Saccharomyces cerevisiae S288C: one gene and its partners. The protein of the gene in region 1 purifies or fractionates together with the protein of each later gene. This does not show direct contact. Each region holds a gene or a part of one and is shown in the gene's direction. Other genes may lie near its edges. The genes, in order: TIF6, NOG1, YFR001W and SSF1.

Evidence for each region.
Region 2: the proteins of TIF6 (region 1) and NOG1 purify together in Saccharomyces cerevisiae (affinity purification with mass spectrometry; 7 studies listed by BioGRID, with this or other methods). This does not show direct contact.
Region 3: the proteins of TIF6 (region 1) and YFR001W purify together in Saccharomyces cerevisiae (affinity purification with mass spectrometry; 6 studies listed by BioGRID, with this or other methods). This does not show direct contact.
Region 4: the proteins of TIF6 (region 1) and SSF1 purify together in Saccharomyces cerevisiae (affinity purification with western blotting; 10 studies listed by BioGRID, with this or other methods). This does not show direct contact.

Annotation. Positions count from the first base shown.
Region 1 is NC_001148.4:586,975-595,067, reverse strand, and holds TIF6 (translation initiation factor 6), read left to right. Parts: upstream 1-1,998; coding exon 1,999-2,736; downstream 2,737-8,093. Other genes in the region: RLF2 (Rlf2p), read right to left, coding at 1-592; guanine nucleotide exchange factor DSS4, read left to right, coding at 1,151-1,582; YPR015C (uncharacterized protein), read left to right, coding at 4,042-4,785; YPR014C (uncharacterized protein), read left to right, coding at 7,550-7,879. UniProt on the Saccharomyces cerevisiae protein: Binds to the 60S ribosomal subunit and prevents its association with the 40S ribosomal subunit to form the 80S initiation complex in the cytoplasm. Is also involved in ribosome biogenesis.
Region 2 is NC_001148.4:367,219-376,567, forward strand, and holds NOG1 (putative GTPase NOG1), read left to right. Parts: upstream 1-3,759; coding exon 3,760-5,703; downstream 5,704-9,349. Other genes in the region: PNG1 (peptide-N4-(N-acetyl-beta-glucosaminyl)asparagine amidase), read left to right, coding at 1-800; EEB1 (medium-chain fatty acid ethyl ester synthase/esterase), read right to left, coding at 853-2,223; Sec63 complex subunit SEC62, read right to left, coding at 2,621-3,445; SSU1 (Ssu1p), read left to right, coding at 6,575-7,951; glutathione-disulfide reductase GLR1, read left to right, coding at 8,284-9,349. UniProt on the Saccharomyces cerevisiae protein: Involved in the biogenesis of the 60S ribosomal subunit.
Region 3 is NC_001138.5:142,394-150,224, forward strand, and holds YFR001W (Loc1p), read left to right. Parts: upstream 1-6,716; coding exon 6,717-7,331; downstream 7,332-7,831. Other genes in the region: ATP-dependent RNA helicase SPB4, read right to left, coding at 2,721-4,541; pseudouridine synthase DEG1, read left to right, coding at 4,738-6,066; linker nucleoporin NIC96, read left to right, coding at 7,623-7,831. UniProt on the Saccharomyces cerevisiae protein: Required for efficient assembly and nuclear export of the 60S ribosomal subunit. Involved in asymmetric localization of ASH1 mRNA.
Region 4 is NC_001140.6:227,594-234,813, forward strand, and holds SSF1 (rRNA-binding ribosome biosynthesis protein), read left to right. Parts: upstream 1-1,741; coding exon 1,742-3,103; downstream 3,104-7,220. Other genes in the region: RNA-dependent ATPase RRP3, read right to left, coding at 1-1,444; hydroxyacyl-thioester dehydratase HTD2, read left to right, coding at 3,377-4,219; DYS1 (deoxyhypusine synthase), read left to right, coding at 4,540-5,703; exosome non-catalytic core subunit RRP4, read right to left, coding at 5,986-7,065. UniProt on the Saccharomyces cerevisiae protein: Required for biogenesis of the 60S ribosomal subunit.

The DNA of each region.
Region 1 (8,093 bases):
TGGCTTCTTCCTTTCTACGCTTTTCCTCTTCCTTTTGCTTTTTCAGCTCAGCACGCCTTTGTCTTTCCTCTTCTACCTTTAGCTCTTTTTTCTTTTTCTCTTCTTGTCGTAATAACTCTTTTCTGTGTTTCTCTTCTGCACGTTGCTGCTTTTTTAGTTCCTTTTCTCTTTTAGCTTCTTCCTTTTTCGATGAGGAAAGTTCTCTCTTAGAGCATGGAGAAGAGCTTCTGCTTTTTGTCTCGATAGCTATTATATTTCCATTGGGTACTTGTTTGTTGGTGTTTCTATCGTATTTTGTACTTTGTATGGGTGAATTTTTGTAGCATAAAAGCTTGTCTTCAGCATTGGCCTTCTTAGGTGTCGTTTTCATTTCATCTGCACACTCTTTATTGATGCTTTTCATGGTTTCTTGTTTAACAGTTTCTATCATAGGTCCACTGACATCCTCTTTAGGATCATCTAGAGTGATGACATCCTTCTCTTTCGTGAGAAACTTATTACTCTTTACCGTAGTTGTATTCTGGAAAAAAGATAGTATGCCTTTTTTCTTAGTGTCGTCCTGTAGAGGAATTGATTTGAGATGTTGCTCCATTTTCCCTTTTCCTTTCGATTCTCTTCTGTCTTGAGGTTCACTAAAACATATAATTCTCTGTAACAGCAATAACAGAATGTTCTTCTCCTCAACGAATTGGCTGGAAAAATGATGTATTTCAAGAAGTGGAACCAATAAGAATTTTATTTTTTAGTCAGTTCGCAAACCTTTTGGTTTAACGATGTAGATCTTTCTTTTTTTCAGTTGAAGCCTTTCACGCGTCCGAACGCGTGAGCATATATGCAAGCCGTCTGACACTATAGATCGCGCCAGGTAGGGAACCACTTGATCCAGCACGATGAGCCCGACAACTCAAAACTCCCTTCTTCTGTATCAAAATACTTTTCAGCATATCCATATCATTCTTCCTTTCTCTTCGTAAAGGCTGACTGGGCGCCGGGGACCCGCTAGTTTAGTAGTACTGTGAATATCGTCATTGTCGTACTGAACGATTATATATCGATCATTTTAATTAATGAAGTACATATCAAAAACTTGACTGGTATGAGTAGAAAGTTCAATTAAAAGGGCTGGAAAAATGGGGGAATAACAGAGAACATGAGCAAGGCTACGTGTTCCTTTGAGGGCTGTCATAGTGCAGTTATTACCATCAACGATGATAACATAATAAACTTACCAGAGCAGGTGCACAGCGAATTCAAGTTGCTGGAAAACAGAACTATGCGAGATGCTACCCCCAGCGAGAGCAACTTCTTGGTCGTCCCTGATGTTTGGGACTTTGATAATGTTGGTGTATCTAGAGAAATTCCTTCTTCTATATTAGGGGATTTGAGTGATAAGAGTGATTTTGTCTTTGAGTATGGTAATTCCAGCTGGAAGATTAAAAAGTGCTTGAAATATTTGATATGCGCTGATTGTGATAAAGGTCCTATTGGAATAATATGTAAGGTGCAAGATCAGACAAAGAATGAAGAAAGAGTTTTGCATCTACTAAGCTTGCGAAGCCTTCAAATTATGGGAAGGAATTAGTTTGGTAGGCACTAGAACAAAAATAGGTTGCCGCCACCAGAAAAAAAAAAGAGTAACCAACCACCTATTTCACTGGCATGGGCCACCTATAACAAGCTATAGAAGTAGTTCTGGTTTACATTACTAGCATCACTTTATGTAATAATATAGGCATTCTGGACGAAATCCTAATGGATGAGCATTACCCGTTTTTTCCGAGGGCCAAACGAAAATTTTCGGAAAATTTTTATTAATTAAAGATTTAAACCCATATTCCTTTGTGCAGATTTTTTCTTTTACTGTATGTAACGCAATATTCAATATTGCATAATTAAAAGAAGCCTCATCCCTCGTTGGTCTTATAGTATAATTACAAGAAGCAATACGACAGAGTATTTGGAACAAGAGCATAATTCAACTAACTCTAGAAAACAATAATGGCTACCAGGACTCAATTTGAAAACTCCAATGAAATCGGTGTATTCTCCAAATTAACGAATACTTACTGTTTGGTTGCTGTTGGTGGTTCTGAAAACTTTTACTCTGCATTTGAAGCTGAATTAGGAGATGCTATTCCCATCGTTCATACCACTATTGCTGGTACGCGTATCATCGGTAGAATGACCGCGGGTAACCGTAGAGGTCTGCTAGTTCCAACCCAAACTACTGATCAAGAATTACAACATTTAAGAAATAGTTTGCCGGATTCCGTTAAGATTCAAAGGGTAGAGGAAAGACTATCTGCCTTGGGTAACGTCATCTGTTGTAATGATTACGTTGCTTTAGTGCATCCAGATATCGACAGAGAAACTGAAGAATTGATAAGTGATGTACTAGGCGTTGAGGTCTTCCGTCAAACCATATCAGGTAATATCTTAGTTGGGTCATATTGTTCTTTAAGTAATCAAGGTGGGTTAGTGCATCCACAAACAAGTGTCCAAGATCAAGAAGAATTGTCCTCCTTATTACAAGTTCCTTTGGTGGCTGGTACCGTTAACCGTGGTAGTTCAGTTGTCGGTGCCGGTATGGTTGTGAACGATTACTTGGCAGTTACAGGTCTGGATACTACAGCCCCAGAATTGAGTGTTATTGAAAGTATTTTCCGCTTGCAAGATGCCCAACCAGAATCCATTTCAGGTAACCTACGTGATACTTTGATTGAAACCTACTCATAGATGTCAGGTACTCCTGAGGGGATTCCCCTCCTTCCTCAAGTCTGTTTACAGTTGTATGCGAAAGAGTCCCCATGTTGCAATAATCTTCTTACGTATCATTTGTGGTATTTTTTTTGGTATAACAAATATTTTTTCTTAGGTTTCTATGCATTTTAATTTTAGTTGTATGTATATTATGTACTCTTTTATTTTTTTTTTTTTTCTTATACCTATGGGTGACTATTCATTGCAGTTTAAGTAGGCGTCTTAATTGTAACATGTAGTCACTTTGTTCGAAGCATATGTAACGGGTTTCTAAGCAAATTCTTTGCATAATATGGATTTTCCGTCCGCTTCTCCGACTATTCTGACAACTTGCTCAGTTCCAAGTATCTGTTAGACAATATAGAACTTCTCCAAGAAAAATTGCACCGCACGTAGACCATTTGAAGGCTTTTTTGTCTAGCTGCTAGGACATACTATTGTCTCCACCAGAACCCGGAGAGTAGTATCTCTTGGCAAAGATTAATAAAATCGAACAAAGCTAATAGAACACCGGGGGTTGTGCGGTAAGATTTTCACAAGCGGTACAGAAGTGAGCCGTAAAATTATATATATATATATATATATATGGTGTACAACAAGTCAGCCGTCCATTTATGTGCTATCAAGCGAACTACGTTTCATCTCTTCAACTTGGTAGTTCTTGAGATATAAACACCCTGATCCATCGTACTCACTGAAATAGCAACAACTCCCTGAGTTCCATTGCCACGCATACCCACTCTCATATCCAGAAACAGCTAGTATTTCGATGTTTTTCCGCTCGAAGAAACTTCCGTAGTATTGTTGAGGTGTTGGGGGCATCGTTCCTTTTCGTACGCCAAAAATTCTTCCTCTATTGTTTCCAGAAAATCGTTGCAAAAAAATAAGTCCGCCACGCTGTTTTCTGTGACAACTCTATCTGGAGCCTTCACTAATGGTTTAAAAGGCACGATTTCCACAGAAAGTTTCGCAGCACTTGTTTGTACAAGGAGCGTAAAGCACCGGAAATCTTTTCCCACTGAAACCCTAAATATGAACGGCATTTGGTTGCCATGAGATACAGTCCCAAGAATTCTTTATATTATATAAGCGCTAGTTGTTGTCGCTCTTTTGACCTCATTGGTAGATATTTCAAATTACAAAATTATAATTGTTTTCTTGGTCCAACTTTTTTCTTCTTTTTGGAGGGCATTGCAAGGATCCAATACGATAAGCAAACGTCTTCATTGACCCGTTTCTAACTTTTAATATACATAAATTTTCATCTTCAACACTAATTAAATGTGGAGAACAAAAACGCTAGAATCTATGCTTTGTAGCCCAATGAAATGTTCATCGTCTAACATAGGGGGATCCTATGCGCAATCTTCAAAGGAAGTCTCGAACACGACCAAAAGGGAAGTGCATCTTCCACCTTGTTCGTCGATTATGCACGCTCCACTTACTCCTGAAATAAACCAGGCCGCACTACCACCTCCCGCTTACCATTACGCACCTTCTTCTCTGCATCAGACAGAGGATCCCGTATGGAGATCAAGTCCCAACTCTATTATCTTTTCGCCGGTTATAGCAACACCGCAACCTTTCCCTTTAACGTTCGTTGAACGTCAATCTTGTTGCCCTATTTATTCAACGGCAGCTTCCTCTTATACTGCCCAATCTGTACCTCCATCAATGCAGCATTTTCAGGAGGAAAACCACAGAGCGGTGAGCAACGAGCAGTACTCCCTCCCGAATGTGCATATAGGGCAAAATCCTGGGACGCTATTATCCCAAACACAAACCGACTTAGATCTTATACAAAAGCAACTGCGCGCTGTGGTAAAGCTACGGAAACAATGTCCTATCTGTGGGAAGGTTTGTTCGAGACCTTCAACACTGAGGACTCATTACTTAATACATACGGGAGACACACCTTTCAAATGTACTTGGGAGCATTGCAACAAATCTTTCAATGTCAAGAGTAACATGTTAAGGCATTTAAGAACCCATCAAAAGAAAATAGCAAAGAAAAAACATCAGTGAAAGCATTGTTTAGAATATTTTGTTTTCAGTGTGATTTTGATGTAGGTGTGACACTTTTTACCAAGTAAAATGAGTATAGATATGTATTAGTTCCATATAATATATTACATGTAGCCAACAATCAATTTTTACTGACTTCCGATTTTTGAATAGTGAGAGGATTTTTGTTCGAATTATAATTTCTACAAGAAATTTGTTTGCGAATGCATCAGCATTTGTAATACGGTTCTATACTGCCGCACGATACATTTTATTCTGTCTAGTTCGTAAGACAAAGGACCTTTTCATTTAGTACAACGTTGCCGACACGGATGTCTTGATGAATCTCTGTACCAGGAATTCAATTACCTGACTAGTATGCAGTTCACTATCAAAAAAAAAAAAAAGGTTAAATTGGTATAATCATGGTTAAAGAACAAACAGCCTCTTTCCTCTACAAAAGTATGTTAAATGTAGGTAGTTCAAATTGCGGTCACGTATATGCCAACGTTGTTAATATATAATGATCCATTGGAACAATGAAGTTTACAGAAGCTCAAAATTAATGCAAGAATAATTACGTCAAGGGAGTCATAACAAACTAAGAAAACAAAGGAATTTGACTAAGTTTGAGCGCAATGATATATCCATGCTTGATATTCTGATTCATACATATCGTTTCTGTCATTTCAATGGAAGTCTTTATTTATCAATTACCACAACCTTTAGTATTGTGCTTATTATTGGTCAAAAGGAGTTCATGCGCTAGTGATAGTCAACCCATGAAGTGATTAGTGGAACATAGAAGGGGATAAATTTCCTATCGGATAACAAAGAAAAACCAGGATTATTGTTTTACCACCACATTTTCAAACTTTCCCGCTGAATTTCCTACTACCCTCATTTGAAAGAACGCTTTCCACTCTTTAGGTTGGCGTTGTATCATCTTTTCTTCCATTCAATGCACCAAGACTTAATTTTGTTGGTTAAACTCTTATTCTTTGTCAGTTTAACCAACAAAATTACCTACGGTAATTAGTGAAAGGCCAAAATCTAATGTTACAATATGATTCAATCATTCTTATTGCGGAGAAGCTACCGAGAAGAACCCTACCACTGGTACAACACAAGGGAACGGTCTCATTGACCTCGTGCATAACCGGGAAGGTAACACATGAATATGCTGTGTTTGAATCATCTCCAATCCAAACTATAGGAATGAAAAATTTTTTTTGGGTACAATGTCTTCTCACAATATCGTATTCTTGGTCAGCAATGTTTCCAAGGATGACAGACTCTTTCTAAGAAAAGATTTCAAGTTCAAAATTTACATAACAGTGAACTATGCAGAAAATTTTACTTCTAGACCACGCATTTAACAATAATGTTTGCCCGCAACAATAAAGTATTTGGTCGCTTTAAGACGTTATCAGTTATTTTATGAGAAGGTGTTTACCATTCGTGCTCCCATACTAAAACCAAGGGGTAAATAGGACCCACATTTCGTTTCTGACAGCCAACAACGTGCCACTAGCAGGACAGTTATTGGAGGTTTATATTATGTAATTATTGTTAGCTGATAAATGATTTACAGAAAGCGCTGATGTTCACTGGGCTGCTTATTCAGCAATCCCCACGCATATTTACTTCAAAGAGAAAGAATTTTTGATGTAAGTTTTATTTGAACGTGGAACTTTGGCGTGGGGCATTTATGGCTGCTATCACACAAATCGCGGAGCAGAGTACCCCTGGATTATATAACACAACTCACTAAAATCGCTCAAAATTGGGGGGTACGGGTTAGCGCGGCAGCTCATCGAGGGAACAGCACCTAGTGCACGTTTAATTGATAGTATCTTCAGAACGAAATCAAATTTTTCGCAGTATCATTTACGTTTCAAGAAACTTAAAGTGTTTGGAGAAATTAGGAACGAAAAAAAGCTACTATAGAAATTGTAGCCTGTCTTCAACTGCTGTCCTCGGCTTTTGACTTGCCTAAGTATATGCCGCAATGGGCGATAAGCGGGAGTGTCGGTCAGATCTGTGGTAAAAAAAAGATAGCAATAAAAAATTATGAATTTAAACAGTAGTCTTGAATTTAAACAAGTGATCTTGACTTGAATACTTCCATCAATGAGTCGCTAAAATGAAAATGGCTGCACAATCTCCTCCGCATATCTTAAAAGGCAGCAATTAGCCAGTTGATCACCCTACATTTCCACAGAAACGAAAAAGTGTAATAGTTATTTTTGCGGCCAATATCGTAAGCTCTAGCGGTGCCTTAGCTTTATGATTGTTGCAAGAAAGTTTGCCTTTTTGACTCTCCTTCAGGTGTCAGTATTAACAAACGGCGTTGAATGTTTAAGTTATTATTTTATTCATCAAATCGACTTGGATACTTTCTCGGTGATGTCGCTAATTGGATTATACCATTAAGGTTGTCACCAGTGTAAAAATTTTGCATCGGTACTTGCAACTACGTGTGAAGGTCAAGTTACTCAACGCAAAGAAACGTTAACATTTTTACAAATTTTAGCTGCAGTACTATGTTTTAAGTAATCCAAAGGGAACTATTTGTTATATCCCAGAATTATTTACATTCGTTTCTTAGTTTCATAAACAATGAATACCTATTGAATGGATAGAAATTCTGACTTGATTTTACGAGTTATTATTGCTGACATTAGTCCAAAGACATCTCAGTTTTGTTTCCTCTACAACCCAATGAGGAGGCTAGCCAGGGCTGTCGCCCAAAAAAATAGCCAATAAAGCGGCAACTTTCTGTATGTCTTGCATTTTTTCCGCTGACTTGGGAGTAGAGTACAGCTGCGCGGAGTCGCGTATTACAAATCTTGTACTTTGCATTCTGTGCATACGTGAGGAAAAAGCAGCACCTGTTGTGAAAAAAGATAAATTTCTTTTTTTCATTTTTCTATCCTCAAAGGAAAATCTTTTCTGCGAAATTTCTAGCCGCTCTTCAGTTTCCGAAGTAAAGTCGCTGAGGGCGAAAAACAACTTTATTTGCCCACACGCTGTTATAGGCTTCCAGGGAGCAAAAGCGCAATTGGGAATAAGGTTTCCTCAATTGAATGGTTTGCTTCGCCTACAGCATTAACCAGAAGGTAATTTGATCTCTTGTATGTCCGCTAACAGATCTTGTCCATTAATTGTTTATTTTCTTCAGGTAGGCTGAGCCCACTTTGTAGTAGCTCCCTACCATTACTTTTGGCCTTGTAGTTATTGGCTTTGATTTTTTCTTTCTATGACAATCCCGTTGAGCAACCTTGCGAAGGGCTCTTTTTGAAAAAAAGGCGTGGGCAAGATCTCTG
Region 2 (9,349 bases), 220 kb from region 1:
CAGAGGGGGAAAATATATACACGGATTATCTAGTAAAGGAGCTGCTTCGCTACTTCAAACAAGATTTTTTCAAATGGTGCAATAAACCAGATTGTAATCATTGTGGCCAGAACACTTCAGAAAATATGACACCTCTGGGCAGTCAAGGGCCCAATGGAGAGGAATCTAAATTCAATTGCGGAACTGTTGAGATCTATAAATGCAACCGATGCGGAAATATCACTAGATTTCCTCGTTATAACGATCCAATTAAGTTGCTGGAAACTAGAAAGGGAAGATGCGGTGAATGGTGCAATTTATTTACTTTGATTTTGAAGTCGTTTGGGTTAGATGTTCGCTACGTCTGGAATAGAGAAGATCATGTTTGGTGTGAATATTTTTCAAATTTTTTGAATAGGTGGGTTCATGTCGACTCCTGTGAGCAATCATTCGACCAACCATATATCTATTCAATTAACTGGAACAAGAAAATGAGTTACTGTATTGCGTTCGGTAAAGATGGCGTTGTTGACGTTAGTAAACGCTATATCCTCCAAAACGAGCTGCCCAGAGATCAAATCAAGGAAGAAGATTTAAAATTCCTTTGTCAATTTATAACGAAGAGGTTGAGGTATTCGTTAAATGATGACGAGATATACCAACTTGCATGTCGCGATGAGCAGGAACAGATAGAGCTGATTAGAGGAAAGACACAAGAAACGAAATCCGAAAGCGTCAGTGCCGCTTCGAAATCATCTAATCGTGGTAGAGAAAGTGGATCGGCGGATTGGAAAGCACAGCGTGGGGAGGATGGTAAATAGAGAAATAAAAGAACAGATTATTATGTGTAAGGAATTTTATCTAAGAACATATTTATAAAACTAACTCATCAAAGCTGCCCAAGAACTCGGCAGCTTGCTTTGTTAACCAGGAATTACTTTCATTGTCGAGATAAGCCAAATGTCCACCCAAGTCAGTCTCGCATAACAACACACAAGGATTTTCTCTAGCTTGTTTGTACGGAATTACGTTTTCACCTGTAACTGGATCATCCGTTGCGTTGATTATTAAAGTTGGGATTTTGATATTAGGCAATCTATTTATCGAACTGGCCTTTCTATAATATGTTAACCCGTCCGGCAGGCCCATCGATGGGGCAGTGAAAAGATTATCGAATTCTAATATGTCTGTAAATTTTTCAGCCTTTTCCAAATTTTCTCTGGTATACGTATAAAAGACTGGTTTCTCAACTGTCGGTTTGTGCGAAACCTCAAAATTCTCTGGTACCTGCAACTCATTCATATTAACCTTGACAGTCCTTGTTAGAAATTGTGTTAAAGTTCTAGAAAAAATATGGTTGGACCACCAATCATGAGCCAACTTGTCCCAAGTGTGTACGAAATCCCATGGGTTTGAGAGAGCGACTGCAGCATTTAATGGACAGTTATCTCCTTCTTCACCTAAGTAGTTCGTTAGCATGGCTGCTCCAAATGATGTTCCGACTGCATATATTTTTCTTTGCGGAAATAGAGCTTTTTGGTGGTTCAAAAATTCTCTCACATCACCTGTGTGTAATGCGGTAAAGATTCTACGGGTGGTGACTTTAGATCTTGAGCAACCTCTAGCATTAAGGACTACCACTTGGAATTTACCGTCACCGACTTTTGATAGATCTTCAGATAATGCCCTGATGAGAGGCTCATGGCTTCCCCCTGCAAGACCATGAAGTACTACCACTAAAGGGTAAGAATAACCCTTAGAATGACATTTTTCAAGTTCCTCAGAGGATAGATATCTAGTTCTCGGGTGAAGACGAGGCCAACCCTTTGGATGGGTGGCCTTTTCATCGTTCGAAAATTGTTTCTCGTTAAAACTAGCCTTTTCAGCATTTAATGAATATGTTTGCTCCCATTCAGGCATAACCCAATCTGCAGTGCAGACCCCTCCATCAGAAAATTTTATAATCTCTCTTCCATAAAATACCTGAAATTTTTTGGAAAAATCACCGGCTGACAAATAAAGGGTCTGTAAGTAACCTGTGAAAAGCAAGCTGTTTAACCTAAAATTTGCACCATCTTTGAGTGTAGGCACGTGTTTGGTTACGAATTCATGAAGAGGAATTTGGCGCTTAGAATCTCTGAAAGCCAAAGACTTGGTTCCTTTCTCTCCCAGTACATGTTTGACGGTGCCGTTATAGCCCCAATGGCTAGGAGTGACAGTTGGATAGTAACCCGAGCGAAACATTAAAATGACAAATATGAAAATACTTGATATCTTGATCTTTTTGCTAATCTTCAAAAATACCGAAAACTAAGTAGGCAACCAGATGCAGAACCCTTCTTATATAATCGATTCCTGTAAGCAAGTGTCAGCAAATAGCTTCTATATAGAGACCTTTCGGTGAAAGTATATTAAAGCCGGCCGGAAATTGAGTAATAATAACCGCTAATTATGCGGTGTGTGGATTCAGATTTTTGCCAGGAGCGATAACCTTCAAATCTAAAACTACTCACTATAAGCGATGAAGCAACCAGATGGTAGCGCTTTGGTGCCGGTTCTCTTGAAGGTTTGTACATGTGCGAGTTCATGAGGTTACAATATAGAAGGTTTATACAGTAGAGCTATACAGGATAATGGAAGTTCAGTTTTGTTCGGCTTTTTCATTGATGGCTTTCTTCTTATTGCTTTCTCTCTTGGCTTGTTTCTTCTTCATTCTTTTCAGTTTCTTTTTGTAACTATAAGTATCCTTCTCACCAAAACCGTAAAGTGGCTTAAAACTCTCTAGTACACCGCAATCTTCGAACAGGTTGGGAAAGATCCAGAACCCACCAACATCTTTGTAGACAATTAATGACAAAACATATAATATCAATCTCAGGATAGCGACAGCAAAGAAGCCTGCTAAGATGCCGAAGGCACCCAGAGACACATAATAGGAGCCGCGTCTCATGGAGCGCGGCCACAATGGGTAGCATACGAGCGCCAATATGATGGACACGACACCAATGACGATCAAGTAATCCATGTAGGTTCTAGGGTTATAGTTCCAAACAAAGTATTCATCGGCTTCCAATTGTGCTTTATTCGAAACAATCAAGTGCGGAAAGTCCTTGCTTGGCTTCAATCCATGCTCTTTGCATTCTTGACTATGCAATTTTTTCACTGGGATCACCATTTGTGCCTTTATAAGTTGAATAAAGATTTCACGTGACTTAAGCTGGTCTTCGATCTTGTTAGAAGGTATAGTTGGATATATCTCTGGCTGTCTTGCAGATTTGTTGGCATACTCCTCAGAATGCAGTGCCCTAACAAATCTCTTGTAACGGAAGAAGTCTGTCTGCTTGGCCTGGAATAAACCCTGCCTTTGCTTCAACTCCTTATGGTTGCGTAAAAGAGTAGCAATGGCTGTAGCAGATCCGCCATTGACACTAGCACCTGCATTGCTACCTGGACCTACGGCTGACATGTTCTCCTGTGTTTGCTCGGCTACCATACTGCATTCAACTGCAATTATAAAAGCCCACTCTTCTCCCTCTTGATTTGTATGCCAGTATTGGGAAAACGACACGTCTATTCCGTCGCACACGATCTTCACTTTCTTTTTTTTTTTCAACTGAACGAAAAGTTTTTTCCGCAGCTCATCGCAAAGAAAAATTTTCACCTATGTACTACCTCATCTAATACAATATAAAGAATACACTTCAGATTTAGGAGTTGCAGCGTTTATAAAAAAGTAAGTGTACCCTCCAAAAGCAAACACATCTCCCTCCTATACCGAAGATGCAACTTTCATGGAAGGATATCCCTACTGTCGCTCCAGCAAATGATTTGCTGGATATTGTCTTGAACAGAACCCAGAGAAAGACACCAACTGTGATCAGACCTGGTTTCAAGATTACAAGAATCAGAGCGTTCTATATGCGTAAAGTTAAATACACAGGTGAAGGTTTCGTGGAAAAATTTGAGGACATTTTAAAGGGTTTTCCTAACATCAATGACGTGCATCCTTTCCATAGAGATTTGATGGACACCCTATACGAAAAGAATCATTACAAGATATCTTTGGCAGCTATATCTCGTGCGAAGTCCCTTGTGGAACAAGTCGCCAGAGATTATGTCAGATTGCTAAAATTCGGTCAATCTTTATTTCAATGTAAACAATTGAAAAGGGCCGCTTTAGGTAGAATGGCAACTATAGTCAAGAAATTGAGGGACCCATTGGCCTATTTGGAACAAGTCAGACAGCACATTGGTAGATTACCATCGATCGACCCAAATACCAGAACCTTGCTGATCTGTGGTTATCCAAATGTCGGTAAGTCCTCGTTTTTGAGATGCATTACCAAATCAGACGTCGATGTTCAACCATATGCTTTCACAACCAAGAGTTTATACGTTGGTCATTTTGACTACAAATACTTGAGATTTCAAGCTATTGACACCCCTGGTATCCTAGATAGACCCACTGAAGAAATGAACAACATTGAAATGCAATCGATTTATGCCATTGCCCATTTACGTTCTTGTGTTTTGTACTTCATGGATCTTTCCGAACAATGTGGTTTCACCATCGAAGCTCAAGTTAAACTATTCCACTCCATCAAGCCTCTATTCGCCAACAAGTCTGTCATGGTTGTTATCAACAAAACCGACATTATCAGACCGGAGGATTTAGACGAAGAGCGTGCACAATTACTGGAATCTGTTAAGGAGGTTCCAGGTGTTGAAATCATGACTTCTTCATGCCAACTGGAAGAAAACGTTATGGAAGTTAGAAACAAAGCATGTGAAAAACTATTGGCTTCTAGAATTGAGAATAAGTTGAAATCTCAGTCTAGAATCAACAATGTTCTGAACAAGATTCATGTTGCTCAACCTCAAGCAAGAGATGATGTCAAGAGAACACCATTTATCCCAGAATCTGTCAAGAATTTGAAGAAATACGACCCTGAAGATCCAAACAGGAGAAAGTTGGCCAGAGACATCGAAGCTGAAAATGGTGGTGCTGGTGTCTTCAATGTTAACTTGAAGGACAAGTACCTATTAGAAGATGATGAGTGGAAGAATGACATCATGCCAGAAATCTTGGATGGTAAGAATGTTTATGATTTCTTGGACCCTGAAATCGCTGCTAAACTGCAGGCTCTTGAAGAAGAAGAAGAAAAATTGGAGAACGAAGGGTTCTACAATTCTGACGATGAGGAAGAAATCTACGACGGTTTCGAAGCATCCGAAGTAGATGATATCAAGGAGAAAGCTGCATGGATTAGAAATAGACAAAAGACGATGATTGCTGAAGCAAGAAATAGGAAGTCCTTGAAGAACAAAGCTATCATGCCACGTTCTAAACTAACTAAGTCCTTTGGTAAAATGGAAGAACACATGTCCACTTTGGGCCATGACATGTCAGCCTTACAAGATAAACAGAACCGTGCTGCTCGTAAGAACCGTTATGTTGAAAGAGGTTCTGATGTTGTTTTTGGCGACCAAGATGCTTTGACAGCTTCCACTGAAAACGGTGTCAAGTTGAGACAAACCGATAGACTGTTGGATGGTGTTGCTGATGGCTCCATGAGATCCAAGGCCGACAGGATGGCCAAGATGGAAAGAAGAGAAAGAAATAGACATGCCAAGCAAGGTGAATCTGATAGACACAATGCTGTTTCCTTATCAAAGCATTTATTCAGTGGTAAGCGTGGTGTCGGTAAGACAGATTTCCGTTGATTTCTCTACTTCTTATTCTTTCTTTTGCATGTACTTTAAAAAAAATATGAATATAAAATGTGGATGTACGTACACGACATTCTAATCTTTTTGGGCTGGTAGGATTACCATTTACATTTGATTATCTCTCTCACTATTAGTGGTTTCTTTTTCTTTCTTTCTCACTTTTTCTGTATCTTTTTTTTAAAAAAATTTTATTTAATCTGTATAATAATAATAAACCGATTTAAATTATCCAACAAGCCGACCCCTCCATGTTCTACTATTTTTTTGTATGTCACTGGATGTATACAAATAATTAAGCATGTGGAAAAAGAAGGGGTGGGATAGCGTCAAGATGACACTTCTACTTTTTTGTGACACATCATCATGCAACCTATCGAGTCTCCCACGAGGTTGACAAATAAGAAATTGTTATCGTTTTTGCAGTGTATCGTATAAGGCAACAATAGCGATGTCTCCCATCAATTGACTGATAAATTCCTGCAAACTATCATTTTTTTTTTTTCATCCTTGTGCCGCGTCTGTAGCCGAAAATCTGAGAGTGCATGAATCTTAAAAAACAGAAGACTCATCGCCGTCTTTGGCACATTGGGGTTGTCTTTGACTTCTTTTGCTTATTTTTGCTCACTTTGCTTATTTTACCTATTTAACTAGAGGTTCTAAAAGAATAGCCAACCAGCGTGTAGTTCTTATTTCTAATCCTTGTCTTGTTAAGTTGAAACTTGTGATATTGGCTGAACAAATTCTCCGCATTTAGACAACACACAAATTACAGCTTTCCCCTAGTAACGATTGTTGATTGAGCTCAGACAATACGCGCAATTTAAAAACGTTTTATAGTGTAAGAGAAGACAAGTACAAGAAAAAAATGGTTGCCAATTGGGTACTTGCTCTTACGAGGCAGTTTGACCCCTTCATGTTTATGATGGTCATGGGTGTCGGCATTTCATCGAATATTCTATATAGCTTCCCATATCCTGCAAGGTGGCTAAGAATATGCTCCTACATCATGTTTGCTATCGCTTGCCTTATTTTCATTGCTGTGCAGGCACTACAAATATTACATTTGATTGTCTATATTAAGGAGAAAAGCTTCAGAGAATATTTTAATGACTTTTTCAGAAATATGAAGCACAATTTATTTTGGGGTACTTATCCCATGGGGTTAGTTACAATTATAAATTTCTTAGGAGCACTCTCGAAAGCGAACACGACGAAGAGCCCCACTAATGCCAGAAATTTGATGATATTTGTTTACGTCTTGTGGTGGTATGATCTCGCAGTCTGTCTAGTAATAGCGTGGGGTATCTCGTTTCTCATCTGGCATGACTATTACCCTTTGGAAGGGATTGGGAATTATCCTTCATATAATATCAAAATGGCATCCGAAAACATGAAAAGTGTATTGCTACTGGATATCATTCCGCTGGTTGTCGTCGCTTCAAGTTGTGGAACATTCACAATGTCAGAAATATTCTTCCATGCGTTTAATAGAAACATTCAACTGATAACGTTGGTCATATGTGCCTTAACGTGGCTGCATGCCATTATCTTCGTCTTCATACTGATTGCGATATACTTCTGGAGTCTTTATATTAATAAGATACCACCAATGACACAGGTTTTCACCTTATTCCTGCTTTTGGGCCCGATGGGCCAAGGAAGTTTTGGAGTCTTATTGCTTACAGATAATATAAAAAAATATGCGGGCAAATATTACCCAACAGATAACATTACAAGAGAACAAGAGATATTGACTATTGCAGTTCCATGGTGTTTCAAAATTCTAGGCATGGTTTCTGCTATGGCATTGCTCGCTATGGGCTATTTTTTCACCGTGATTTCTGTCGTTTCAATCCTGTCGTACTACAATAAAAAAGAGATTGAAAACGAGACAGGAAAAGTGAAGAGAGTTTATACCTTCCACAAAGGTTTTTGGGGGATGACTTTCCCGATGGGTACTATGTCTTTAGGAAACGAAGAGTTATATGTGCAGTATAACCAGTACGTTCCCTTATATGCATTTAGAGTCCTAGGAACCATATACGGCGGTGTTTGCGTTTGTTGGTCAATTCTATGCCTTTTATGCACATTGCATGAGTATTCTAAAAAGATGCTGCATGCTGCCCGTAAATCTTCATTATTTTCAGAGTCAGGTACGGAAAAGACGACAGTTTCTCCGTATAACAGCATTGAAAGCGTGGAAGAATCAAACTCGGCTCTAGATTTTACGCGTTTAGCATAAAATTGTTGGTTTTATACGTACATAATTGGCAAGCATTTCATGTAGGAGTCTCAATAGATAGTTTAATTCATTTGCACGGCGCTTTGCTGCTTTTGCTTCTTCACGTTGGTTTTCACTATGCCTGATATTTTTTGACGTCACTTAGTAAGCACGACCCTTGTCAATTTTTCGAGGATTTCGGAGCTTTCCATTTGGAATCTACTATTAAAATCAGTCTAAAAAAGTATAAGAAACACTTCTGGTTTTTCTCATGCGCTTCTCACTCTCAGTATATTTTGCTGCTTTCCTTCATATGTATATATATCTATTTACATATTAGTTTACAGAACTTTATGCTTTCTGCAACCAAACAAACATTTAGAAGTCTACAGATAAGAACTATGTCCACGAACACCAAGCATTACGATTACCTCGTCATCGGGGGTGGCTCAGGGGGTGTTGCTTCCGCAAGAAGAGCTGCATCTTATGGTGCGAAGACATTACTAGTTGAAGCTAAGGCTCTTGGTGGTACCTGTGTTAACGTGGGTTGTGTTCCGAAGAAAGTCATGTGGTATGCTTCTGACCTCGCTACTAGAGTATCCCATGCAAATGAATATGGATTATATCAGAATCTTCCATTAGATAAAGAGCATTTGACTTTTAATTGGCCAGAATTTAAGCAGAAAAGGGATGCTTATGTCCATAGGTTGAACGGTATATACCAGAAGAATTTAGAAAAAGAAAAAGTGGATGTTGTATTTGGATGGGCTAGATTCAATAAGGACGGTAATGTTGAAGTTCAGAAAAGGGATAATACTACTGAAGTTTACTCCGCTAACCATATTTTAGTTGCGACCGGTGGAAAGGCTATTTTCCCCGAAAACATTCCAGGTTTCGAATTAGGTACTGATTCTGATGGGTTCTTTAGATTGGAAGAACAACCTAAGAAAGTTGTTGTTGTTGGCGCTGGTTATATTGGTATTGAGCTAGCAGGTGTGTTCCATGGGCTGGGATCCGAAACGCACTTGGTAATTAGAGGTGAAACTGTCTTGAGAAAATTTGATGAATGCATCCAGAACACTATTACTGACCATTACGTAAAGGAAGGCATCAACGTTCATAAACTATCCAAAATTGTTAAGGTGGAGAAAAATGTAGAAACTGACAAACTGAAAATACATATGAATGACTCAAAGTCCATCGATGACGTTGACGAATTAATTTGGACAATTGGACGTAAATCCCATCTAGGTATGGGTTCAGAAAATGTAGGTATAAAGCTGAACTCTCATGACCAAATAATTGCTGATGAATATCAGAACACCAATGTTCCAAACATTTATTCTCTAGGTGACGTTGTTGGAAAAGTTGAATTGACACCTGTCGCTATTGCAGCGGGCAGAAAGCTGTCTAATAGAC
Region 3 (7,831 bases), on another chromosome or scaffold:
ATGGTTTGAAACAAAGTGGTGCAAACTGGTATGAAACCATTAAATCATATTTAATAAATTGTTGCGACATGCAAGAAGTTCGCGGATGGTCATGCGTATTTAAGAATAGTCAAGTAACAATTTGCTTATTCGTTGATGATATGATATTATTCAGCAAAGACTTAAATGCAAATAAGAAAATCATAACAACACTCAAGAAACAATACGATACAAAGATAATAAATCTGGGTGAAAGTGATAACGAAATTCAGTACGACATACTTGGATTAGAGATCAAATATCAAAGAAGCAAGTACATGAAATTAGGTATGGAAAAATCCTTGACAGAAAAATTACCCAAACTAAACGTACCTTTGAACCCAAAAGGAAAGAAACTTAGAGCTCCAGGTCAACCAGGTCATTATATAGACCAGGATGAACTAGAAATAGATGAAGATGAATACAAAGAGAAAGTACATGAAATGCAAAAGTTGATTGGTCTAGCTTCATATGTTGGATATAAATTTAGATTTGACTTACTATACTACATCAACACACTTGCTCAACATATACTATTCCCCTCTAGGCAAGTTTTAGACATGACATATGAGTTAATACAATTCATGTGGGACACTAGAGATAAACAATTAATATGGCACAAAAACAAACCTACCAAGCCAGATAATAAACTAGTCGCAATAAGCGATGCTTCATATGGTAACCAACCATATTACAAGTCACAAATTGGTAACATTTTCCTACTCAACGGAAAAGTGATTGGAGGAAAGTCGACAAAGGCTTCGTTAACATGCACTTCAACTACAGAAGCAGAAATACACGCAGTCAGTGAAGCTATTCCGCTATTGAATAACCTCAGTCACCTTGTGCAAGAACTTAACAAGAAACCAATTATTAAAGGCTTACTTACTGATAGTAGATCAACGATCAGTATAATTAAGTCTACAAATGAAGAGAAATTTAGAAACAGATTTTTTGGCACAAAGGCAATGAGACTTAGAGATGAAGTATCAGGTAATAATTTATACGTATACTACATCGAGACCAAGAAGAACATTGCTGATGTGATGACAAAACCTCTTCCGATAAAAACATTTAAACTATTAACTAACAAATGGATTCATTAGATCTATTACATTATGGGTGGTATGTTGGAATAAAAATCAACTATCATCTACTAACTAGTATTTACGTTACTAGTATATTATCATATACGGTGTTAGAAGATGACGCAAATGATGAGAAATAGTCATCTAAATTAGTGGAAGCTGAAACGCAAGGATTGATAATGTAATAGGATCAATGAATATTAACATATAAAATGATGATAATAATATTTATAGAATTGTGTAGAATTGCAGATTCCCTTTTATGGATTCCTAAATCCTCGAGGAGAACTTCTAGTATATCTACATACCTAATATTATTGCCTTATCAAAAATGGAATCCCAACAATTACATCAAAATCCACATTCTCTACAGTATACATATTATTATAGCCTTAATCAACAATGGAATCCCAACAATTATCTCAAAATTCACCAATATCTCAGAGACTATATCTGAAACAAACAAAGACGTATAGTCCAAAGCAATATTCAAGGAAACTACAAAGTGAGATTAGCTACGTAGAAATAGGAGAAAAAGTATAAATTTAAAGTTAAATTCAGATCTCAAATTCTCTTAATATTTGAAATAAATCCGCTGCGTGACAAATCCCGTGATGATCTCGGAATATTTATATGTTACCATTTATACTTATGGTAGAATTATACTCACTAATGAATGTACGGTTACTATTTGGAACAAGTGGTCATCAATTGCCATAGTAACATTTTGAATGCTTGCATCGTGCATGAATACATACCGCATATATGTTTAAGTATGAATATACCTGTTAAAGAAAGTAATGAATCTGTATTGAAGAACCGTAGGTTTGACATGATCTGGTCGTTATATATACGCGTAATATGACTAGTCAAACTAAATGTATGACAAGTTCCAGAACTACTATTACATTGATCATAAGTAATAATACACAAATCAGCGTGTGTTTTATACTTCTCTTATATAGTATAAGAAGATCCATATTTAATCTTCATTAACACTACTTCTTAACCTCTAATTACCAACGGGTCAATGTTAGGATAATTGTTGGCATTCCATTGTTATTAAAGGGAATCAAAGTATATTAAAAATTCTTCCCAAGGATGTAATAACCTAAAAAAGGAAGCCCATATTTCTATATAATGTTATTAATATTTTCTTTTTCATATTATTGTCGCCACTCTTTATTCCATTACATTATCAAGTCTTGCATTTCGGCTTCCATTAAATTTGATGATTATTTCTCAGTCTTTGTGCCATCTACTCACACTCAATTTTAATATAGTGTTAATATGAATACTAATCAATGAGCGATCATTGGTTCCATTACAATAACGTTGTGATCGGAACTTATTTTGAAGTTATTCCTGTCGACTGCCTGATGTCAGTATTGAGGCTGTTTGATTATTTCTGAACATAATATCCTTTTCCTGTTACAAGTACATGCTGAACAAGAGATATATATTATGCTTTAAGATGGAGTATAATGGTTTTAGAATATTTTAAATTAAGTATGCATACACAAATAATCTACTTACTCACTATGATGCTACAAGATCATCCATTGGTTAAGAATGTTGAGTGATTCTACGAACAAGGTAACTTTTTTTCCATAATTATAAGTCGTCAAAATTGCCTTGGATAGCTTTGCTGGAAACTTTCTTCCGTTTATTCTGTAAAACGATTTCTTTCCAATCCTCTTTAATACGCTCTTCTTCAGCATTTTCATCGAGCTCTTCTGCTTTCAATTCTTCCTCTATAGCCTTCCTTTTTAAACTCATCTTTTCCTTTCTCTCGAGTTTCCGTTCTTTCGTCAATGTTTTATCTGACCACGCTAAATTCTTCTTCTTCAACTCACTTTTCAGCTTCTTTTTATCATTAATCAGGCTTATATTTTTTAATGTTTCTTGTCTCTCCTTTTCACGTTTTTTGTCCTTGTATTTATATTCATCCATATTAACTGGGGGATCGACCAACCAATTCCCTGGGAAAATCCCTTCTTGTTTTTCGGTGGCTAAGTACTTTGTTATCTCAGGCATTCTAGGCAGGCGGAAAAGACCATACAATTTCGCAATACCAACATAATCTAAAGATTGAAGCCTAAAAATTGAAGTTGCGGAATGATTTGAGTAGTATTTAATAAAGGCAACATATGCTTTAACACCTTTATCAAATCTATCCCTATCTTCTAGTATCCAATTTCTAAAGTCCTCGTAAAAGTTTGTTGTTATGCCCTTTACTTCCAAATCAAGTTCTTCAAGTTCCACATTTTTAACTTGCATGAAAGGAATAAAATCCTCTTCTCTGCCTTCATTAAGAAACGTAATTGCTTTACCCACTCTATTTGCTCTACCAGTTCTACCACATCTATGCATGAACATATCAGTATTGGTAGGGGGATCAAGCTGGATGACGAGATCAACGTCGGGTATGTCAATACCTCTAGCAGCCACATCTGTTGTGAATAAAACAGAATTACTTAGCGAATCAGTAAAAGCTGTTAGAGTTTTTGTCCTTGCCGATGTTTGAAGTTTTCCATGCAAGGAAAATATTTCTACTTCATTCACGAGAATATTCCTCTTTCCCAAATACTGGATAAATGAGTAGAAGTAGGAGACTGACACACATGTTGGAAAATATACAATACATTTCTTGAATTTGTAGTTATTCAAAATGCTAACCAAAAGTTGTAGTTTTTCGGCAGGATTTACGACACAGTAATTTAATTTCAAAGAGGAGGGCGCCTGGTTCTTAGAGTTAACGGTAATCCTGACAGGATTTCTAAGCCCTGTCTTAAAGATATCTGATCCGGCGCTACGCATAGTTGCAGAAAATAGACCCGTCCTTCTTTGTTTAGGCAATAGCCTCAGAATTTTTTCGGTATCCTTAATAAAACTCATATCCAACAATCTGTCTGCTTCATCCATAACTACCATACTGCATGCTGACGTCTTTACTGCTGGCATTTGTAAAAAGTCCAAAACTCTACCAGGTGTTCCAATCAGAATCTGCGGTCTATTCCGCAGAAAATTACTTACATCATCTCTAACTGTGGCTTCATTAGTACCAACCAGGAGCTGACATTTAATAGGGAACAAGTCGGAAGGATAATGTTCCAGAAATGATAGAACGACAGACTCAATTTGGCGTGACAATTCTCTTGTTGGAGCAATAATTAACGAGTGGAAGTGTGCTTTCTTGAATTTTGATGTATTCGCTTCTTCCTTTACAACTTTTTCTAGTACAGGTATAACAAACGCAGCGGTCTTACCTGAGCCTGTTACAGAATCAACTACTACATCCTTGTTGCCAGCAAGCATGGGAATTGTCGATGCTTGGACTGGAGTCATGGTCTCAAAACCCATAACATCGAGTCCTGTCCTTATCCAGGGAAGTAAAGAAAACCCGAGATTATCCCATTCCAATGACTTTGACATTGTTTTTATTGCTGCTGAGCTTTTAATATTATCTTACTACACCTCAAATCAATGGGCTCAGCTCATCTTGAAAAGCTCACTTTGTTTTTCAGTGAAAAATTTTTGAAAGCGAAAAGCCGGCTCAAAATAAAGAATAATATAGTATTCTCGAGGTGCCCACATGCAATCTTTACTGCCCTACTATAACCTCCCTTGAATGAGTAATTTCATTAGAAGGCTAGTTGGGAAAATGAAAGCGATTTCAACAGGTACCAATGCTATTGTTAGTAAGAAGGACTCCATTTACGCAAACTGGTCCAAAGAGCAGCTAATACGAAGGATCACTGAACTAGAAAACGCAAATAAGCCACATTCTGAAAAATTCCAGCACATCGAGGATAACAAAAAGCGCAAAATTTCGCAAGAAGAGGTTACGAGAAGCAAGGCGAAAAAGGCTCCGAAGAAGTTTGACTTTTCTAAACATAATACCAGGTTCATCGCCTTGAGATTTGCCTATTTGGGATGGAATTACAATGGCTTAGCTGTTCAGAAGGAATACACACCGTTGCCTACAGTAGAGGGTACCATTTTGGAGGCCATGAATAAGTGTAAACTTGTTCCCTCGATGGTTTTACAAGACTATAAATTTAGCAGATGTGGCAGAACAGACAAGGGAGTTAGCGCCATGAACCAAGTTATATCGTTAGAAGTCCGTTCCAATTTAACAGATGAGGAACAGCGGGATCCGACCAACGACAGCAGGGAAATACCCTATGTTCACGTTTTAAATCAATTACTACCCGACGATATTCGTATATCAGCTGTCTGCCTCAGACCGCCACCTAACTTTGACGCAAGATTCAGCTGTGTTCACCGGCACTATAAGTACATCTTTAATGGAAAAAACCTTAATATTGAAAAAATGTCTAAAGCCGCATCATATTTTGTTGGAGAGAGAGACTTCAGGAATTTTTGTAAGCTTGATGGCTCAAAACAAATTACCAATTTTAAACGAACAATAATAAGCTCAAAAATTCTTCCCCTTTCTGAAACTTTCTATTGTTTTGATCTCGTTGGTTCAGCATTCCTATGGCACCAAGTTCGTTGCATGATGGCCATTCTTTTCTTAGTTGGTCAATCACTTGAAGTGCCGGAAATTGTCTTGCGTCTGACTGATATTGAGAAAACCCCTCAAAGGCCTGTTTACGAAATGGCAAATGATATACCATTATTGTTATATGATTGTAAATTTCCTGAAATGGATTGGCAAGAACCTACTGTAGATGACTATAAGGCAATAAAATTCACGACAGCTACTGAAGCATTGACGTTACACTACGAACTTAAGGCCGCAGTATGCAATATTTTTAAAGATGTTTTGCCCACAGCAAATACAAACAACTTCTCAAAGACAATTATTAATTTGGGCGATGGAAGAGGTAAAGTAGTCGGTACCTATGTGAAACTAGAGGATAGAAGCGTTATGGAACCTGTCGAAGTTGTTAATGCTAAATACTCCAAGAAAAAGAACAACAAAAATAAGTAAAATAATATATAAACCTGTATAATATAACCTTGAAGACTATATTTCTTTTCATCACGTGCTATAAAAATAATTATAATTTAAATTTTTTAATATAAATATATAAATTAAAAATAGAAAGTAAAAAAAGAAATTAAAGAAAAAATAGTTTTTGTTTTCCGAAGATGTAAAATAGGTTGAAAGTTAGAAATTAGTATTATAATAGCAAAAAAAATTTAAAGTTAGAAATTAGAATTTAAGGCTCTACACACGTTTACGATGATATTGGACGACCGACACGAAAAGACAGTTTTAGGCTTTCTTTTGTCTTGCTCTTGCGTTGAAAGTACGTAATTTCCATTCGATTACTTACTCAACACTTGATATAGAGACCAACTATAAAATAAACTGTTTGGGAAGGAAAGCAGAACTCTTGTAATTACCTCATCTCATTATCAAGAAGCAAAATTTTAACTATGTATTTTGACCTTATTTTTGTACTCCACTTTTTTTTTTTAGTTTTTTTTAGTTATTTTTTAATTTTGAAGTAACGGCGATGAGGTGAAGTTTTTTTTAAACTGAAAAAGAAGATCGAATGCAAACCATAAATTAGAGATCTAATTGAGGTAAAATTATAAGGTTAGATATCTGTAAATCTATACAATTAAGGAAAGATGGCACCAAAGAAACCTTCTAAGAGACAAAATCTGAGAAGAGAAGTCGCACCAGAGGTGTTTCAAGATTCACAAGCTAGGAATCAACTAGCGAATGTTCCTCATCTTACCGAAAAATCTGCCCAGCGTAAGCCTTCTAAAACCAAGGTTAAAAAAGAACAGTCTTTGGCTAGACTTTATGGTGCGAAGAAGGACAAGAAGGGGAAATATTCTGAGAAAGACTTGAATATTCCAACACTCAATAGAGCTATCGTTCCGGGTGTTAAAATAAGGAGGGGAAAGAAAGGTAAGAAATTCATTGCTGATAACGACACTCTGACTTTAAACCGTTTAATAACAACTATTGGTGACAAGTACGACGATATAGCTGAGAGTAAGCTTGAAAAGGCTAGAAGATTAGAAGAGATACGAGAATTGAAAAGAAAGGAAATTGAAAGAAAGGAAGCGCTTAAACAAGATAAACTAGAAGAAAAAAAAGACGAGATTAAAAAGAAGTCTTCTGTCGCAAGGACTATACGTAGAAAGAATAAACGTGATATGTTGAAAAGTGAAGCAAAAGCTAGTGAAAGTAAAACTGAAGGAAGGAAGGTAAAAAAAGTCTCATTTGCTCAATAGTTTGATTGACTAAACTAAATACGGATAAGTCTGTTGTATAATATATAACATCCTGAAGGCAAAGTCTTTGTAAAGATTGTGCTTTATAGAACGGTCAATATCGTCATGGCTGATGCTACTCTGTTCATCACTTCTCTTCTTTATCGAAGACCGGGTAATAATAAATATCCGAATTTTTTTCAAATTTTGAAAACTCACTCACGTCTTCCTAGAAGATTTCAAATGCATTAATTCATCAAAATTCAAAACTTAACAACACTTGTGAAGAAAAGTCACAAAGAAGTAAACGATATGCTGGAGACGTTGCGCGGAAATAAGCTGCATTCTGGCACCTCAAAAGGCGCCAACAAAAAGTTGAATGAACTCTTGGAATCGTCCGACAATCTACCATCAGCATCCTCTGAATTAGGTTCAATTCAAGTAAGCATTAATGAATTGAGAAGACGTGTTTTTCAATTGAGAAGCAAGAACAAAGCTAGCAAGGACTATACTAAAGCCCA
Region 4 (7,220 bases), on another chromosome or scaffold:
TGGCAATCTTCTCCTTGTTTCTTCTGTTCATTTCCATTACAACTTCCCCATTAGCCTTATCGACGGAATCTCTTAGGGTCAATATAATGTTCTTGTCCACACTTTCCTTCGGTAGTTTTTTACCTAAAACTTCTTCAATTCTTAAGATCAATTCCAGATCGTATTGTGATACTAGTGAGATAGATTTTCCTGATCTACCAGCTCTTGCGGTTCTTCCCACACGATGAATGTAGGACTTGGAATCCACAGGAATATCGTAGTTTACAACTATGTCCACTGATGGAATATCCAACCCTCTCGCAGCGACATCTGTAGCCACGAGAATAGACCTCTTACCTGCCTTGAAAAGATCCAAAGATCCCATTCTCTGGTTTTGATTCAAATCACCATGTAGCGCAGTGGCACTAAACTCGAGCAAATTACATAATCCTGACAACCTTTCCGCGTTGGCCTTGGTTCTTGTAAAAATGATCATCGTCTTTCCAATAAATTCATTTAATAAATAAATTAGGTATGTGTTCTTAAGACCACCTGGAACGACCATCAGTGTTTGCACTAATGTATCTACGGTTTGGTATTTGTTTGACACGGCACATTTCACAGGATTTGTCAAACTTGCTCTTTGTAATTTATCAATTTTGGAAGTCATAGTAGCGGAAAAAAGATAAGTGGTTCTTTCTTGGGTTGGGATGATCTTTAAAATTCTATCAAGAACAGGTCCAAATTCCATGTCTAATAATCTATCAGCTTCATCCATAACCAAGAATTTCAGTTTCCTCAGTGAAAACCCTTTGGTATTCTCTAAATGGTCCATTAATCTACCAGGTGTAGCAATGATAATATGTGGCTTTCTCATCAGGTCTCTGGCCTGGTCCATCATATTCATACCACCCACAATACATGTCGATCTCACGCCCATTAAGGATCCTAATGAGTCAAATGTTTCTTTGATCTGTTGTGCTAATTCTCTTGTTGGAGCTAGAATGCACGCATAGTATGGTTCCTGATCATGCCATAACCGATTCAAAATGGGAATAGCAAATGCAGCAGTTTTACCAGAACCTGTTTGCGCAAGTCCAATTATATCGTGACCTTCTAACGCGGGAGGAATTGCCTTAGATTGAATGGGAGTGGGTTTGGAATAATTTAAGTTCTTACAAGCTTGAATTAATTCGGGGACCAGATTCAGTTCGCTAAAGGATTCAAAAGATTCATCTTCATTAGTATTTTCATTTTGGGTTGATACTGTGGATTTGCTTTTTGATTTCAAAACCTTTTTCTTTTCAGCAGTAGCATCTTCTTCAGAATCGGACTCTGAACCACCTTCCTTTTCTGCTTCTATAAGCTTCTTTTGATTTTCCAAAGCTTTTGCTCTAATCTTTTCTGCTAAAGAAGTTAATTCATCGTTAGCCTTCTTTTCCTTTCTCTTAACAATTTTGGACATTTTTATAGCTGATTCAGTGAAGTACTTAACAGAATCTTGGTATATATTGCTTCTAAGATATGTCACAATTCTGTGTATACCATGTACAATTGCTAAATGCTCATTGATTAATTTTAAATTTTTCATTTTTATCGCCTTAGACGAAATTGAAATTTTTCACTGAAAAAAAAAAAAAAAAAAAAGTAGACGAAGAAGCTCATCTCATCGCGATATTAGTTCGATATCTGGGTTTGAGTGAGTAGTATGTTTAATAATAAAAGAGTATAATCCAGATATAGCAGACAATAAAATTTCAAGATGGCCAAGAGAAGACAAAAGAAAAGAACACATGCACAGCTTACACCTGAGCAGGAACAAGGTATACCTAAGTCAATGGTAATCAGAGTGGGTCAAACTTCTTTGGCCAACCATTCTCTGAACCAATTAGTAAAGGACTTCCGCCAAATCATGCAACCACATACGGCTATAAAATTGAAAGAGCGCAAGTCCAATAAACTGAAGGATTTCGTTGTTATGTGTGGCCCATTAGGTGTTACGCATCTTTTTATGTTCACTCAATCTGAAAAAACAGGAAATGTCTCCCTAAAGATAGCTAGAACTCCGCAAGGTCCTACTGTTACTTTTCAAGTATTGGACTATTCTCTGGGTAGAGATATCAAAAAATTTTTGAAGAGACCTAAATCGTTGAATAATGATGATGTATTAAATCCTCCATTGCTAGTGCTAAACGGGTTTTCCACATCCAAAAGATCTGGTGAAGACGACCAGGATGTAAACGTGGAGAAGGTCATTGTTTCTATGTTTCAGAATATTTTCCCACCTCTGAATCCTGCGAGAACTTCTTTGAATTCTATCAAACGTGTATTTATGATCAATAAAGACAGGGAAACAGGGGAAATTTCTATGCGCCACTATTTTATTGACATTCGAGAAGTAGAGATCTCTAGAAACCTAAAAAGGCTTTATAAAGCCAAAAATAATCTAAGTAAAACAGTGCCGAATTTGCATCGAAAAGAAGATATTTCTTCTTTGATATTAGATCACGACTTAGGCGCCTATACATCAGAATCTGAAATTGAAGATGACGCTATCGTGAGAGTAGTTGATAATCAGGACGTGAAGGCAAAGCATTCTCAAAGTTTGAAGTCCCAAAGAACACCGGTCGAAAAGAAGGATAATAAAGAGCGTGAAAAAGAAACAGAAGAAGAAGATGTGGAAATGGAGGAACCTAAGCCTTCAGAAAACTTGCAACCAACCCCACGTAAGAAAGCTATCAAACTAACTGAATTAGGACCAAGATTAACTTTAAAACTGGTCAAGATAGAAGAAGGTATTTGTTCAGGTAAAGTGTTACATCATGAATTTGTTCAAAAATCAAGCGAAGAAATCAAAGCTTTAGAAAAGAGACACGCTGCAAAAATGAGGCTGAAGGAACAAAGAAAGAAGGAACAAGAAGAAAACATTGCTAAAAAGAAGGCTGTTAAAGACGCTAAAAAGCAACGTAAATTGGAAAGAAGAAAAGCTAGAGCAGCAGAAGGAGGTGAAGGTCAAGGAAAAGATGATGCGATGAGCGATGATGAGTCTTCATCAAGTGACAGCGAACATTATGGTAGCGTACCAGAGGATCTAGATAGTGACTTATTTAGTGAGGTCGAATAAATTGTTCTCCGGTACCAAGAAAATTTTAGTTAAGCCTGGCTATCCACCAACGCACGTATACTTCTTCACTTTAGATAAATTGCATACTTGATACATATAAACTCTTTGTCTTTTAAATCATAGCCCAAAGGAAACGTAGATCTCAGAAGGCATGTGAAAAAAAATTCGATCTTACCTTTTTTACGCCATTTTAAGCTACTGTTTCGATACATGAGCGTGGCTGGTACATTGAAGGTGGGCAATCGTCCACTTATCTAAAGACAGCTTATCAGCATGAAATCCAAAACGTGGATTTTCAGGGATGTCTTATCTAGTCACCGAACCAAAGCGTTTGATAGTTTACTTTGTAGGAGACTCCCTGTATCAAAGGCAACGAAGCATCTTCAACTGGGAGAACATTTCCTGTTCTTCCCACCATCATTCGAAAAATTGGATAGAGATGGTTATTTTAACTATCAAAATCCTGCAAGTTTGCTAGGAAACCCTGATTTACGCTACCGTAGAAGGATTTGGGGACAAGGAGAGCTTGTTCAGTATTTACCAGTCACCTTAGACCAGGAGTATACATGCCACGAATCAATCAAATACGTAAAAAAAATACGAGATGAACATGTTGTCTGTATTGAAAGAACCCTTTTACAAGAAAGGCCCGAAAATGTGTCGAGTCCAATGGACATTTGCTTATTCGAGAGAAGGGTATTAATGTACACCAATTCACCCGCAAACAAGACTGCAGTCAAGATGCCCGTAGGAGAGGAGAACTATAAGATCTTAAAAAATTTTACTGTTACTGATATGGATATTGTAGCTTATGGTCAGATGTCTTTGAATCCGCACCGAATTCATTGGGACAAAGAGTACAGTCGCTATGTTGAAGGCTACGACGATATTATCATGCAAGGACCCTTCTCGGTCCAATTACTACAGAAATGCATCCAACCTTTTCTCGAACAACCAATCAGACAGTTGCGATACCGCAATTTGAATTATATATATCCAAACACTACTTTGAGCATATGTCAGTCTTTAAGCTCTTCGAGCGGAATGTACACATTTCAAATTAGGGACCTCCAGAAAGCCAACTTAGTCTACATGAAAGCTGATGTTTTCTGTTGACTACCAGTAATTGTCTCTCTGCAGATAATCACTACCTGTGTGTTTCTTGTCTCTTGAAATAATACTAGTAGCTGCTGAACAGTGGAAGGTCACGAACGAGATTACCATAATATCTCGCCATCACCAGGTTGACGGTAAACGCATTACGGGAAGAACTGAAAAAAAGGTGGGAAAAAAAAATAAAAAGTAAAGTGAAAAATTAAATGTAATGTATATTTCCATTTTGACGCAAAGTACTTCCCTCTATCAGTTTTGTATCTAACTGCAGAGTAAAGTCGTGTTTTGCTTAGTTAACTTATATACAAGTCAAAGCAAAAAAGATGTCCGATATCAACGAAAAACTCCCAGAGTTACTACAAGACGCTGTCTTGAAAGCATCTGTTCCTATTCCAGATGACTTCGTTAAGGTTCAAGGTATTGATTACTCAAAGCCTGAAGCCACTAATATGAGAGCAACTGATTTAATTGAAGCTATGAAGACCATGGGTTTCCAAGCTAGTTCTGTTGGTACTGCCTGTGAGATTATTGATAGTATGAGATCATGGAGAGGTAAGCATATTGACGAATTGGATGACCATGAAAAGAAAGGTTGCTTCGATGAGGAAGGGTACCAAAAGACTACTATCTTCATGGGTTATACTTCTAACTTGATCAGTTCCGGTGTACGTGAAACTTTACGTTATTTGGTGCAACACAAAATGGTTGATGCTGTCGTTACTTCTGCTGGTGGTGTGGAAGAAGATTTGATCAAATGTCTTGCTCCAACTTACTTGGGTGAATTTGCTTTGAAAGGTAAATCTTTGCGTGACCAAGGTATGAATCGTATTGGTAACTTGCTTGTTCCAAATGATAACTACTGTAAGTTTGAAGAATGGATTGTCCCAATTTTGGATAAGATGTTGGAAGAACAAGATGAATACGTAAAGAAACATGGCGCTGACTGTTTAGAGGCTAACCAAGACGTGGATTCACCAATCTGGACCCCATCTAAGATGATAGATCGTTTTGGTAAGGAAATCAACGACGAATCCTCCGTATTGTACTGGGCCCACAAGAATAAAATTCCAATCTTTTGTCCATCTTTGACTGATGGTTCAATCGGTGACATGTTGTTTTTCCATACTTTTAAAGCATCTCCAAAACAACTAAGAGTTGACATTGTAGGAGATATCCGCAAAATCAATTCAATGTCCATGGCCGCTTACAGAGCCGGTATGATCATCTTGGGTGGTGGTTTGATCAAGCACCACATTGCCAATGCTTGTTTGATGAGAAATGGTGCTGATTATGCCGTTTACATTAACACTGGTCAAGAATACGATGGTTCTGATGCAGGTGCAAGACCTGACGAAGCTGTGTCTTGGGGTAAGATCAAGGCTGAAGCCAAATCCGTCAAACTTTTTGCTGATGTCACCACTGTTCTTCCATTGATTGTTGCTGCTACCTTTGCCAGTGGTAAACCAATCAAAAAAGTTAAGAATTGATGAGAGAATTTTGAGATGAAAAAAAAAAAAATGAATCTGTACTATTTCTTTTTTTAGTGCAAAAGTTTTGTTTTAATATAGAGATAAATAAAAAAATGAACATATTACTATAATATCAACAAAATATGATGTAATGTCTGCAATAAAGATGAGTCAATTGCATTTCTATACGTACTAATCGTGTGTACATAGCCATGACATTATGTAAGTTTATACACATAAATTGCGTTGGAGTCTGCTGTGTAGTTTATAAATGTGTAAACAGCGGCTTTTGTATTCCTATTAGTTGCCGTTACCTCTCATTTTTTCGGCGGTAAGAATGTCACTGCCTATGGATTCCATTACATTTTTCTCAATCAGTTCACCTACGTTTGAATAAACCATACTAGCTTCGTAAGCACTTACTATACGTTGTTGAGTAATGCCTATTTCACAGAACGCTAACGCTTTGATCACGTTCGCATACCGGCAAATTGCTTGTCGTATGTTGTTCGATATGGAAGGATCGTTTTCATCCGAATATATTTGCCATGAAGACTCTTCTTCCAGTCTTGTTATGGAGGGATTTAATGATACCGCACCAGTGGGTCCAGTTGATTTAATTGAGGAACTGTTATTTGCAGACGGCGTATCCCTCGCTAAGTCCATCTGAGATGTTTTCCTTAACCATATGTAACCATTGACTCCGAGAACTACGGTTATGTTGCCGGGCAAATTATGAGTATGGTTCTTGGCTCTCACTATTAATGAACTCGGGACTTGGCAAAACATCCCGTTTCTTAACTTCCCGTACTTTAGAGACCTTGTATGTAAAGAGGCACTACCATCTTGAAATAATGATTGAACTTCTGCATTCAGGAGGTCACCTTCCTTAAGGAAGCTTCTCATTTGTAGTTCATCACTTTCAGATTTTCTTCTTAGAATACCACCCGGTAAATTCACAGAGCCCAACATAAGTACTGCATGTTGCTTACCGCCAATGTCTACTTTCCATCTCTTGTTACCCACTTCAGCAATTCTCCCTACGACGTGATCACCAGTTTCTGGGGCATAACGACCTTTCAATGGAATTACCGATAGCAGCCTATTGACACGGGATACAGTACCAGCAACAGAGGAATACGTCATATTATCAAGAAAATACGTACCGTGACCTCTCATCCAGATAGGGTCATCAGTGACCAGCTCACCTGGCGTCACAATTTGAGAATCAGACTCACTTTTAGAAGCTGAGTTAACATCGTGCATGTAGATATCTTCTTCATCATTTTCATCATCTGATATCCCTGTGTTGTTATAGGACAGGTTAGATGAATTTTGGAAGGCACCGTTCCGCTTGGTAATTGTGATAACTTCGGACATATCTGTTTACGCTTGTGTGACTACGCAAAGATTTAGAATGCAAGCAGTACTTAAGGAAGGATATTTTTCTTCTACTTTTGTTTTAGTTTTCTTAATTTTTTTTTTTTTTTCACCTCATCGCTCAATCCATACTGAGGAAGAAAAAGAAAAAAAAA